Linked DNA regions of Drosophila melanogaster. The gene in region 2 interacts genetically with the main gene of each other region. Each region holds a gene or a part of one and is shown on either strand. Other genes may lie near its edges.

Evidence for each region.
Region 1: of lt (region 2) and Vps8, changing one enhances a phenotype caused by changing the other (phenotypic enhancement), as found in Drosophila melanogaster (one study listed by BioGRID).

What each region holds. Positions count from the first base shown.
Region 1 is NT_037436.4:6,490,728-6,497,557, reverse strand, and holds Vps8 (vacuolar protein sorting 8), read left to right. Parts: upstream 1-2,260; 5' UTR 2,261-2,367; coding exon 2,368-2,469; intron 2,470-2,536; coding exon 2,537-3,844; intron 3,845-3,903; coding exon 3,904-4,761; intron 4,762-4,818; coding exon 4,819-6,240; 3' UTR 6,241-6,328; downstream 6,329-6,830. Other genes in the region: bulli, read right to left, coding at 6,509-6,588, 6,655-6,830. UniProt on the Drosophila melanogaster protein: Part of the class C core vacuole/endosome tethering (CORVET) complex involved in endo-lysosomal vesicle trafficking and lysosome biogenesis by facilitating docking and fusion of endosomal vesicles.
Region 2 is NT_033779.5:22,922,982-22,927,840, reverse strand, and holds the start of lt (light), read right to left. Parts: upstream 3,047-4,859; 5' UTR 2,946-3,046; coding exon 2,916-2,945; intron 2,860-2,915; coding exon 2,734-2,859; exon of another isoform or gene 2,682-2,733; coding exon 2,511-2,681; intron 2,461-2,510; coding exon 2,343-2,460; intron 2,276-2,342; coding exon 1,922-2,275; intron 404-1,921; coding exon 76-403; intron 1-75.

The DNA.
Region 1 (6,830 bases), on a different chromosome or scaffold from region 2:
AGTTTCGTAGTCTAATAATTTATGTATAATGATAAGGCATTATGACAAATGAGCTTATCGCCTTATTCCGGTCTATTTAATCTGAATGTATTCGATGGCACCTACAACAACTTTTAAATAACAACCTTAACGTTATACAGAAATTTATTTGTCTGCGTTTAAGTTCAATAAACGCACCAAAATGGCTAGAAAAGTATAGTGAATAATCTTATCTTATAAAACTCATCAAGGAACACTTAAAGTCAAATTAAAATTCTTAAGGGTAAACGATGTTTCATATAGTACAAAATAAAACAAATCTGCATTGCAAGTGTTATTGGATCCGAGATAAAGTATCTTAAATGACAATCATAAACAGAAATCTGCTGTGAGCCATAAATATGAATGCTTTTAAAAATATTACTAGGTTAAATGAATGAATAAATGAATATATTAAGCCGTTTTTCAATTCTCTTTCAGTATATCAGTTTACGGAAAATAAAAAACTGCTTTATTTTAAGAACAAATATAATGATTTTCGGGTTGAGATCCCTTTTACTGAAAGACCCGAGAAATATATTAACCTTTCCAAGGAACCCATTATAAATATTCGGTACCCTTTGAGCCAGAAATCCAGGTAACTCCTTCGTTATGGTTAGTGTATGACAAATGTGGAAAAACTAGCGCGACGGGCGATTGGCGACTAGCGCGACTGGCGGCGACCAGACCAACAAACAATGTCCAGCGATTTCCGATCGACAAGTTGGGGCCAAGAGCGTGATGAACGCGTCAAGAGGGGGTGCGAGGGAAGTCGGAATGGGAAGAGGAGGGAGCGAGAAAGAGGAGACGCAGCGTGTGCAAGAATGCTTTGCTCCGCGAGTGTCATTAACTCGTTTGCCTTATCTCGAAAAACGTAAACGAAGCTGCATGAGAGCTTTATTTACGTATGTAGGAATGTGTGCGTTTGGGAAAATTACCTGCGAAAGGTGCCGCCCTGCCGCCTAATTGATAAGTTTTGGTTTCATATTCGTCTATGTAAGTAATTAACTATGGTAATTTGGGAAATTGGGTATATTTGGAGCGCGGCGTCTTCTTACCTGTCGCACATCAATGACGCACGCTGCCGACGCCGACTTCAGCAGCGACGCTGGCAGAGGAGTTTACGTTAGCTCTCTTGCTATGTATCTCTCCCACTCGAACACAAACGTGTTGCGCTCACCAACACCAAGGCGAAATTGCACAGCTGAGCTGGTGAAAATACAGCGAATGCGGTGCACAAAACAGAGGACCGAAAACAATAACGTTATGTCAATTTGTTGCTGCCTGAGTTGTTCTCTGCCTGCTGCTCCCGTTTGTTGTTACTTTTTTTTGGCACGTGAATCGACAATCGCATTTTTCAAATTCTTGCACTCATTCGCTTTTGTGCATTTGTTTACGTCACTGGCTCATACACACACGCACGCACACCCGCACACATACGCGCGACTGAATGAAAGGCGCGTAAAGAAGAGAGTGGAAATGCCAGAAAGAGAGCGATTAATTTGGCAAAGCGCCGCACGCTCAAATAAACAAATATTTTATTTATATTTCGTGTCCCAATCACTGCGCCATTGTTTAGTACTATTCGTTAGTGTCTGCTAATGCCCATTTTGCACAAGTGTCTTATGCATGGCAACAAACAATACAATAATCGAAATTTCCACTCGCGTTTTGCTCTTGGCCCGCAATCACGGGCTGCTGCAACTGGCAGATAAGCGAATCCGATTAATAATCTAGTGCGCCGCGCATTGTTTTTGGTTACGCGATTATTCAAATGGCTCGGAACACACTTTATTGCATTTTAATTAATATCTGCTGGCCTCGCGAGCAGCAAAATCGTCCGCTGCACTGAACCGAACGCGATGAAAACAAAGATGAACTAGCGATGGAACAGATGGCGATGTGAGGTCCAACCTGCGATATTTCGATGTTTGCTAAGTCGAGTAGTCGATTGGTCCTCTCACTCGATAAGTTTTTAAATTTTCGATATTAAATTTTTAACTTTGTTGAACTTAACATTAAATTTTATACTCCCATTAAGTTGTAGACTGTTTCCAGTTATAAGCTTATTTCTAAATGAATAATTTAAAATTCCTGCTTCTTAAAGGAACAAAAACAAATATACGCCTTCCTCAGAATTTAAAATTTATCTTTACCTCTGTTATTTGTCCAATTAAATTAAGTTTTTATATAAAATCATCGATAACAGAAACCGATAAGCAACCGAAAGACATCTGTTATGCAAACGAGTGGGCAGTCCTTTGATGGGCGTAGAAACTCATTGATAAAAACAAAATCACTTAAAATTATTAGTTTGGGGGAGGGATCAGGATTGAAAGAACCGGGAGCATGTCGGAGCTTAAGGCCCCGTCGCTGCAATCTCTGCTGGAATCGGAGCGAGGATCCACAGACAGCCTACTGGCCGAATCCCTGCAGCTGGACTTCGAAGATGTGAGTTGGGATTACCCGAAAATGGAATGGCCTAGATAACACTTTATCTTGATTCATCCAATTATAGCTTGATGATGCCGAGTTTGCAATACCGCCCACCGATGTGCTGCCTACTTTGGAGGCGGTGCTCAGTGAATTTGAGGCGGATTCGGATGTGGCCTCCGAGTTTGGAATGCCGGTGCCCCATGCCACGCCCACGCCCTCGATTGGTGAGGATTCCACGATCAGAACAGACGGCAGAGGTGGTGGAGGATCCATAATGAGGTACACCCTCCTACACGGCATCTCGGCACAACTTTCCTCAGCGGCGGAACGTGTCAATGCCGGAGCAGCCAGTTCCTGTGCCGTGGCCGCATTCATAGCCATCGGAACATCGCATGGACACATTTTGAACTTCGATGTAACCCAAACCCTTAGGTGGGCCCATCAGGACAAGCATGGTCAGGGTGCGGTGGCCAGTTTGGCTTTCAATGCGGATTCAACGCGACTTTTGGCTGGTTTTTCTAGGGGATTGGTTGCCATGCTGGACACTCATACGGGTGATGTTCTCCGTGAGCTGTTCGACGTCATAACCCCAAACACCGGCGTACTGCATGTCAAGTGGACCTCGAGATCATCACTGGCCTTGTGTGCCGATGCCGGCGGATCGGTGTGGTCTCTTAGTTTCACCCGGAAGCTGGGCATCCGTGGCTGCCAATCGAGATGCCTCTTCTCCGGCGCTCGCGGAGAGGTCTGCGCCGTGGAACCTCTAATAATGGACTCCCAAGGACGCCATGAATTGGATCAGTACTGCATTGTGGCTCTGGCAACGTTATCCAAGTATTTTATCGTCACTGTCCGACCAAGATTAAGGGTCATCAAATACCACGTGCTTCAGGGACCTCCTGATTGCTTACCTCTCCTCGCCTGGCATTTAGTACTCATTCAAGCGGCAGATACTTCCCGCTCCGTGGACCCCGTGATTGTCGTGGGCCGCGGGAATCAATTATTCTTTCACCAACTGTTTGTCTCGAACGGACGAATAACGCTTTTATACCTTCGACATGTCCAGCTGCAGGGGAGTCTCCTCTCCGCTCACTGGCTGGGACCAAAGTGTGTTGCCTCATTGGACACGGCGGAAATACTTCATCTTGTGGATGTGCGATCCAGTAAGGAACTAGAATGTATGGATATGGCCAACGCAGGACTGGTCTACGGATCAGCGCAGTTTAAAGGACTAGCCACTGGCGGAAATGTGTCACCTGCCTTCGCTTTAGCCGGCTCAAATGCCTGTTATAACTCAGTGGTTTCAAGAGGAACCCAGTTGTACGTTTTAGGCGCCAGGTCCCTGCATATAATTGGAGTTAGAACTTGGTCAGAGAGAATAAGCTTCCTGGTAAGATCAAAACTGTGGATTTAAATGGAAAATCAAAGCCTCAACTTTATCGTTTCTAGGTAAAACACCATCGATGGCAGGAAGCCTGCCAACTGGCACTTGATGGCTACATTGCCTCTGTGGATCGCCCGAGGAAACGTGCTCAAGCCAAGGAGCGTATCATCATGCTTTTTAAGGAATATATCGCCAATTCCGCCCGGGCACCAGAGTATTGTCTCGGCGCCATTGTTAACTGCTTGATCACCGTGGGTGAACTGGATCTTCTGTGGACACAGCTGTGGGAAAAGTTACACAACAGCAGCACTGAACTTTTCTTACAGCACATTTCCGAGCATATAGAAAAGGAAACGATACATAGTGTTAATCCAGTGATATCCCAAGCTTTGGTGGATTACTGGCTGGAACACTCCCCTGCCAAACTTGAACAGCTTATCCTCAAACTGGATTGGATGTGCCTGGATCTCAACCAGGTGCTTAAGGCTGTGAAGAAGCATCGTCTGTTTAGGGCTCAAATCTACCTCAACACCCAAGCTTTGAATGACTATACGGCGGCGCTCACGGAGCTCCTTCCATTGGTGACCCCAGATGAGACGGATTTGGGCAACTGCCTGCTGGTCTACGTTTCTAGTTGTCTGGCTGGAAGAGAATATCCCAGCGGAGAAATTCCCGTGGAGCTGGTGCATCAAGTCAAGCACGATGTCCTGCGTTGCCTGACCTCCCAGCATTCCAAGGAGAATGCCGGCGATGAACTGCCCTATCCCTATCTTAGAGCTCTCCTCAAGTTCGATACTCGGGAAACCCTAAACGTTATATCGCTGGCGTTTCAGGAACGAGAGTTTAGCAACGAGCTGGGAATCTCGCATCGCAAGAGGATTATCAATCTGCTACTGGAAATCATGTCGCCCGAGAATGCAACGGTAAGGTTTGTTAACCATAATTGCTAGTCATCCAACAAAAAACTCTTTATCTTCCAGTGGGCGGAGATTGGTTGCTTGCTAAACTTCATTGCTCAGCAGATTTCAATGCAATGCCTGCCGCGGGATAGACAGCTTCTGGAACGAGTTTTGAGCCACTTGGCGCAGGAGGAAATTGCTAACGAGAGCAGTCGCCAACACTCCGAGCGAGAGAATGCATGGCACGAGCTACTATCCTCCAACTGCCTGGCCGAGATCAGCAGCGATGAGGAGCAGCTGCGCTTAGCAGAGAAGGCGAAGTGCTATTGCGTAGTGGAGTACCTATTGGAGAAGCTTGAGCGATACGATACCATCCTGGATTCCTACATCCGAAACGAAGCCAGGCACGAAACCATGTTTGCATATATGGAACGCCATGTTGCTTCACCAAAGAGAAGCATTTTCCGGCAGTTGAAAAGGAATCTAAGGGAGCTACTAACGATCAATGCCAAGGAAACCACTCGCTTGCTGTCTCTGCACTATCCAGAAAAGATTAATGAGCTTTTAGATAACCTGAGAAGGGAGGAGAACTTGTTATATCTGTTCCTCAAGTGCCTCAATGATCGTAAAAGCGAACTGGAAGCCAGTCAAATGGAGTTACTACTGGAATTATATTGCAAAATGGAGTCGTCGTCTACCGTCGAAGAATTCCTTCGATCCAATTCGGGTTATCGCTTGGAGAATGCCATTGCCATAGCTGAAAGCCATCACCTTAACCGATCTGTGATTTATCTGTATGAAAAGCAAGAGAGCTATGCGAAAGCCTTTGAGTTGTCCATGGAACTGCTTAAGTCCGCTGCTGGCGAGGAAGCAGCCAAGGAGGCACAGACTATATCGGCTCTTTTGGCTCGGTCTGTGGAAACGTTACCAGCCCAGGAACTGGAACGCTGTTGGTTCGCTCTCTTGCAATATATTCTGCCGCATCAGGAGCTTCAGTCCATTACCAAATCTCTGCTGCACGAGGCCTCACAGCATATCGATCTGCATAATTTGGTTCAATTGATTATGAATACCCACAATGTGTCAACTAGTTTCGGTGATATAAAGGATCTTCTAATGGGTATGCTGGACAGTTCGAGGCACAAAACGGAGGCTTTGCGAGCATCTGCTGGAGCCCTGTGTCAAGATCTTCACCTGAAGTTCGTCAAGCGCTATCAGCATGCGCATCGTGGACTTTGGGTGACCACCACAAAGTGCTCCATGTGTCGCCAAAGGCTGTACGATCACAGCCAGGTGCTAATATTTGGCGGATGTGGGCATGGCATACACGAGCAGTGCATGGAGGAGTCGGAGACTCAGTTTGAAGAATGTCCACGGTGCTTTACGGCCATTCCAGATCAAAGTATTGGTTTGCCGCGGCCAAATAAAAATCTAATCAGCATTTCCTCGTCCTTGGAAATGGGTGCCTTGCAACTGAAGGCACCGCCCAGGCGATTTATATAGTTTCATCGTCCTTTTTGTATATTCCATTTATTCCTCTATGTATTTATTGTACAACTATGTGTATTGTATGTGTAAGTAAAAAAATTGCATGAAAAATCCGTATTTTTATGGTTCTTGTTTGAGTCATTCCTTTACTTTCGTATAAAATGATCATCATTTCAATTGGATATATTTACAATTCAATACAAAAGTATGTTTATACTTCAGTATGTTTATACTTTCTAAAGCACACTTTAAATTATATTAATCACAAATTGCCATTTTTCCTTTAGCTTACAGGCTGTCTGGTAGGATTATCAGCAGGAAAAGTGTTATTATAATGCTGTATGAATTCCGTGCATTGTTCAGCTGTTAAATAAGAAATTCAAAGGTTTAAAAAGTGATGCCGCAATTCAAGATTACAAATTAGCTTACCCTTGGGAAAAGATAGGGTTTCATAAAGTTTCAGGTTTCTCATTTGGAAAAAGCGGTATACGCTGTGGAATATTAGATCATCCTTTGTCTTATGAGCCGCCTCCAGAAACTTGCGAGCTGGCACTTTTTCCAGACCCATTGAATTCTTAGCCAGCCTTAAGGCATCAATAACTTTG
Region 2 (4,859 bases):
AATTCTCCGATGAAAAAGTAGTAGTGTAGATTATTAGTGTATTAATGTCATGAAAATATAGGACTATTGGCTTACCTGTGTTTAATCAACCATTCTATACGATCATCTGTTTCAATAAGACTAGCTACCACAATATCCTTTGGGGCCACAATATAAAAGCGATTCTCCTCGATTATGCCACCCAGACTATAGTCATTCACGGTGTACTCCTCAAAGCCGCGTAAAGTTAAACTGTCTGTGCAGATTTCCTCGCTATTATTCATTTTGTATTCAATAACGCATAATACAGGTCGTAGGGCTTTAAAACAAGAGCTTTTTTCCTTGCGAAAGCCAAGAACAACCAATTGCTTTGCAGATAATGGTGCAAGCCCACATACGTAGAAAGTTGTTTGAAATGTCGAGACTGCAATGGTAAAGTGAAATTATAAATGTGAGGATTTTCAATTTCACTGCGTGAGCCCAAAATATTTCATTATAACCGTTACTCGTAGAATGAAAGAATATACTAGATTCGTTGAAAAGTATTTAACACATAGAGAGAAGTTTGTCCAACCATCTGAAGGATATATATACATTTTTTTTGATCAGTCGATCTGGCCTGTCCGTCCGTATGAACGTCGAGATCTCAGGAACTACATACGCCAGAAAGTTGAGATTAAGCATACAGGTTCTAAAGGCATAGACGCAGGTCAAGTTTGTTGTGTGTTCAAATGTTGCCACAACCCCTTTTGATATTTTGTATCTTGCAAATTTAAAAAAAAAAATTTTGTCACGCCTACTCTAACGCCCATAAACCGAACCTGAACTGTTTCAATTATTCTTTGTTTTATTATTTCTCTTGCCATCGGTATACCAAAAACACTTTGGCCACGCCCCTCCTTACACCTGCAAAACGGTCAACAGAACACTTAGTAACGGCAAATACATTAGAATAACAAGATGCGTAACGGCCACTCATTGATTTTGTCCTATGCCGGCAATTTTTTGGGGACTTTAGAAAAAATAACTGAGAGCCTAATAAATCTAAATATAAATATAATATTTGCTTGCTTTTGTGAGTAAAAACAATAAACGAAAACGTGTATATGTGTGCCTACTTGGGCTAGAAGACGATTTTCAAACTGAAATCAATTTTGATATAAGAATCGAATTTACATATTTGAAGTTTTGGTCAATTTCGTTGCAAAATTTCAACAGGTTACTGTGAGCAATACCTTTTACAGCATTAACATTAAGTTAATCAATATTTCAACTTATAAATAAAATTAAGTTCCGATCCGGAATTGTTATTATTACTTTTGTAATTTAAAACAATAATTTTCAAAAAAAGGAAATACATATTTAAAAATATATTTTATAAAAATAATACAAACATACATAGTTAAAAGTTAATATTTATAAAATAAATACAAATATGCTACCTGTTTAATGCAAAGTTGAATTCTTGAGGCACGACGTGCGGTTATAAGCACCTAATAACCAATGTCTACTCTAATTTTTAACACGTCGCAAGCTGAATACTTGAATGATAAATATTCTAATATAGTCATACTTGAAATTTATTTTGTTATTTATTATTTCTAAGTGTTATTCAAATAATAATATCATTGCCTTAAGCAATGCAAAACATGAATATTTTATATGGTACCAATTAATCATATATAATATAGATTTAAAGTCTAAGAACTTGTAAAGTGAAGGGCACATTTTGTCAAATTTACAATGAATAAGCATACGTGTGCATACAAGCTGTCTCTGTATACGTAGAAAAGAGCTGATGGCAGTAGAGCTCTCCACTCTCACGCTCTTGAACAAAAACTAGTAATAATAAAACTCAATAATAATAGCGTTACGCATCTTGTTATTCTAATGTCTTTGGTTACGGTAAATCACTGTTGATTTTTTAATAAACTTTACATACTTGGATCCACAATGTAGACAGGCAGATTGCCAGTTGAAGCTTCGATTGAATTTCTCTTTCGAATTACGCAAACTCGAATAGTGTCTACCCAGCCAATTAATAATGTATGCTTGTTGGACCAACGAAGGTGGCATCGAAAATTTTCTAATCGCTCCTGAGGAGGAACCTCCCACTTTATTAATCCAAGTGAGCATCTTTCGTTTAAATCGTAGACTCGAACTCCTATGTGACTTGCCCAGGCAATAAAGTTGCCATGCCAGCAGATTGACAAAACACTGCCTTCGACTGAGCACAGTTCAACTGGTTTAAGCTTCTTTAGCAAGTTTCGCTCGTACAAGATAAGTTTGTCGTCGCCTGCAAAAGAATAATAAAAAGAATAATTGCTCTCGATAAATTAACAGAAAATATTCATATTACTCACCCACTACAAATCTTTTAATGTGAGCTTTGGAATCGGGCTCCAGTGATACGACCTTTATAAATTTGCCAAAGCTGAGACTGTGATTGTTATCAGAGCTAAACAATCCCGTTATGTTAACCTAGGCAAAGAGAATTAAGTTTTATATTGCTATCAAGCTCAGATACTCACTTTTCCGTCGTCGGAGCATGTGGCCACATACTCGCCCTTATGATCTACATCTATATTGTTTACTGCCACTTGGTGAGTGTGACGTTCGCTAGCGCTAAGATTTGAGTAGACTGAGTTTCCTTGATGGTCAAATATACAAACACGTCCTCGGAAAGTTCCAAATATAAGAAACTAAATATGTACGTTTTTTAAAATACTTATATAATATGTGGTTGGCTCACACCTTTAAGTGTACAGCGCTACAAGTGATGACATCAGCGTTGAGCATGTATTTTAAATCATTTGCGAGACGGTGATACTTAAATTTGGGCTCCACATCTTCCTCATTTATGCTATCGGCCCAAGAGTCCTGGAATGAACAAAAGTTTAATAACATGCGTTTAGCAAAGCATCCACAAATCATACACAACTGATGAGCGGCAACGCTTTAGCCATTTAAAGCAAACGGAAATTTCTGATTTTCAAACAACGAAAATACACAAGCTGATGTATTATTTTATTATTTACATTTACTAATAGCGCCATAGACAATAATAATTACTATAAAACGGTCTTATTATTCGATGTTATAGCTGTGTCCCACTAATATATATACAGTTTGTCAAGAAACTGTTTACAAGCTGAGAAATAAGTTGAATTTTTGACTTTAAAGGTAAAAAATTAAGGGTTCTGTGCTTAAATAAACGAAATTTTTTTATTCAATATAATAACAAACCTCCCAAAACTGCCACGCCCAAACCTATTGAAAATTTTATGACATTTTTTCATATATTTTTAGTATTGTAAATTTCTATCGATTTGTCGAAAATCTTGTGTCACTTCCACACTTTTGAACAATTTCTAATTTTGTTTTAAGTTTTCGTATTTTTTCCAACTTTCTACCGATATTAAAAAAAATATTGAAAAATTTAAATAAAGGTATGTTATATATTAATGTTTATAATAAAGTAAGTAATTTGGTCTACTTTCAGCTTTCATCAAAAGTTTTAGATAGGCAGCAATGCCGTTATCGACAATTTGCTTACACTTAAATACTTAAATAAATTCTTTATAGTGTATTTTGTGGGTACACATTTTTTATAAGCATACTTGTCAACAGATATCGAGCTGAAGGCTTGCAAAGACATCAATTGATTCAGAAATTCTAAGTCCTCTTCATGTTTAGCTAATAAGCACGGACGAAGATTTATTAACGGTTCCTCACTAATATGGTTCCAGAGGCTAGGAGCAAAACATCCTTACCAAGATCCTGTGCAAGAAGAGCAGCACACGTTCCAGGCAATGCAGGTGGTTCTTCGGCATAATGCGAGTAAGAGGCAAGCTTCAGTCTGTGATCTTTTATGTTTTGAAGGCGAGACTGAGTTTTCCTGATGAAGCAGGGTGTGGTGCTTAGATCCGCACACACGGCAATTGCTGGAGTTGCACTGCCTTACTTGATGCCCAGTCTTAAACAAAGAGCATGTCTATTTGCTTCTTCCAATCGACATGATGGGTTCAGGTTCTTAAAGCTTTGGCAGTAATAAATTGTTGAGAACGATAAAACTCTGGGTCCGCGAGCCTAAGGTTTTGGGGTATGTTCCAGTTGCTAATGTCAATATTCAAGGACGGCTGACTTTTAATTATATCGGATGCAATACCAGCAGTGATGTTGGTCGAGTATTATAGACGTTTAAGATCGTATTGGAATGTTTACTGACAAACCATCTGTCTGAAAAATCGCCTATTACGGTAAAACAAGCTGCCGATTTTGACTTCCTGAGTTGAAGCTTATTTGCGAATTGAGTTGTTTTAATGTGCAGTTGAGCAGAGCACGTCAAGGAGCTAAGAGGCTAAGGAGCTGCAGAGGATTCAGTGCAGAGGATGCGAGTGAGAAGTAAGCGTTTCTCAGGTGATCTTTTATGACGGGAAGGCGAGGCCAAGTTTTCTAGGTGAAGCAGGCTGTGGTGCATAGATGCGCGCGGCAAATGCCGGAGTTGCACTCCCTCAGTTGATGCCCAGACTTGAGGCAATTCAAATAAAGAGCCAGTTCCTTCGCTTCTTAAACCCGACTTTCTGGGTTCAGGTTCGTAAACCTCTGGCAGTAATAAATTGAACTGGGCACCAGAAGCACTGCAGAAGACACATTTCGCAGGGCTGAGGCTTGAGTCAAGAAGGGTAAACTTACGCAAACCAGATATTCTGTTACATTCCAAATGATTGTCTAGTGCTTAACTTGCCATGGCGAACACCATGTTCTCCAGCGTCCTGCATCGCTGCACCACAAACGATGTCATGGATTCCCACGTCGTAATTGCATTTTTGAACAATGGGTCTTCCAAATGCTCCACCCATTTCGCATGAATCTCCGCA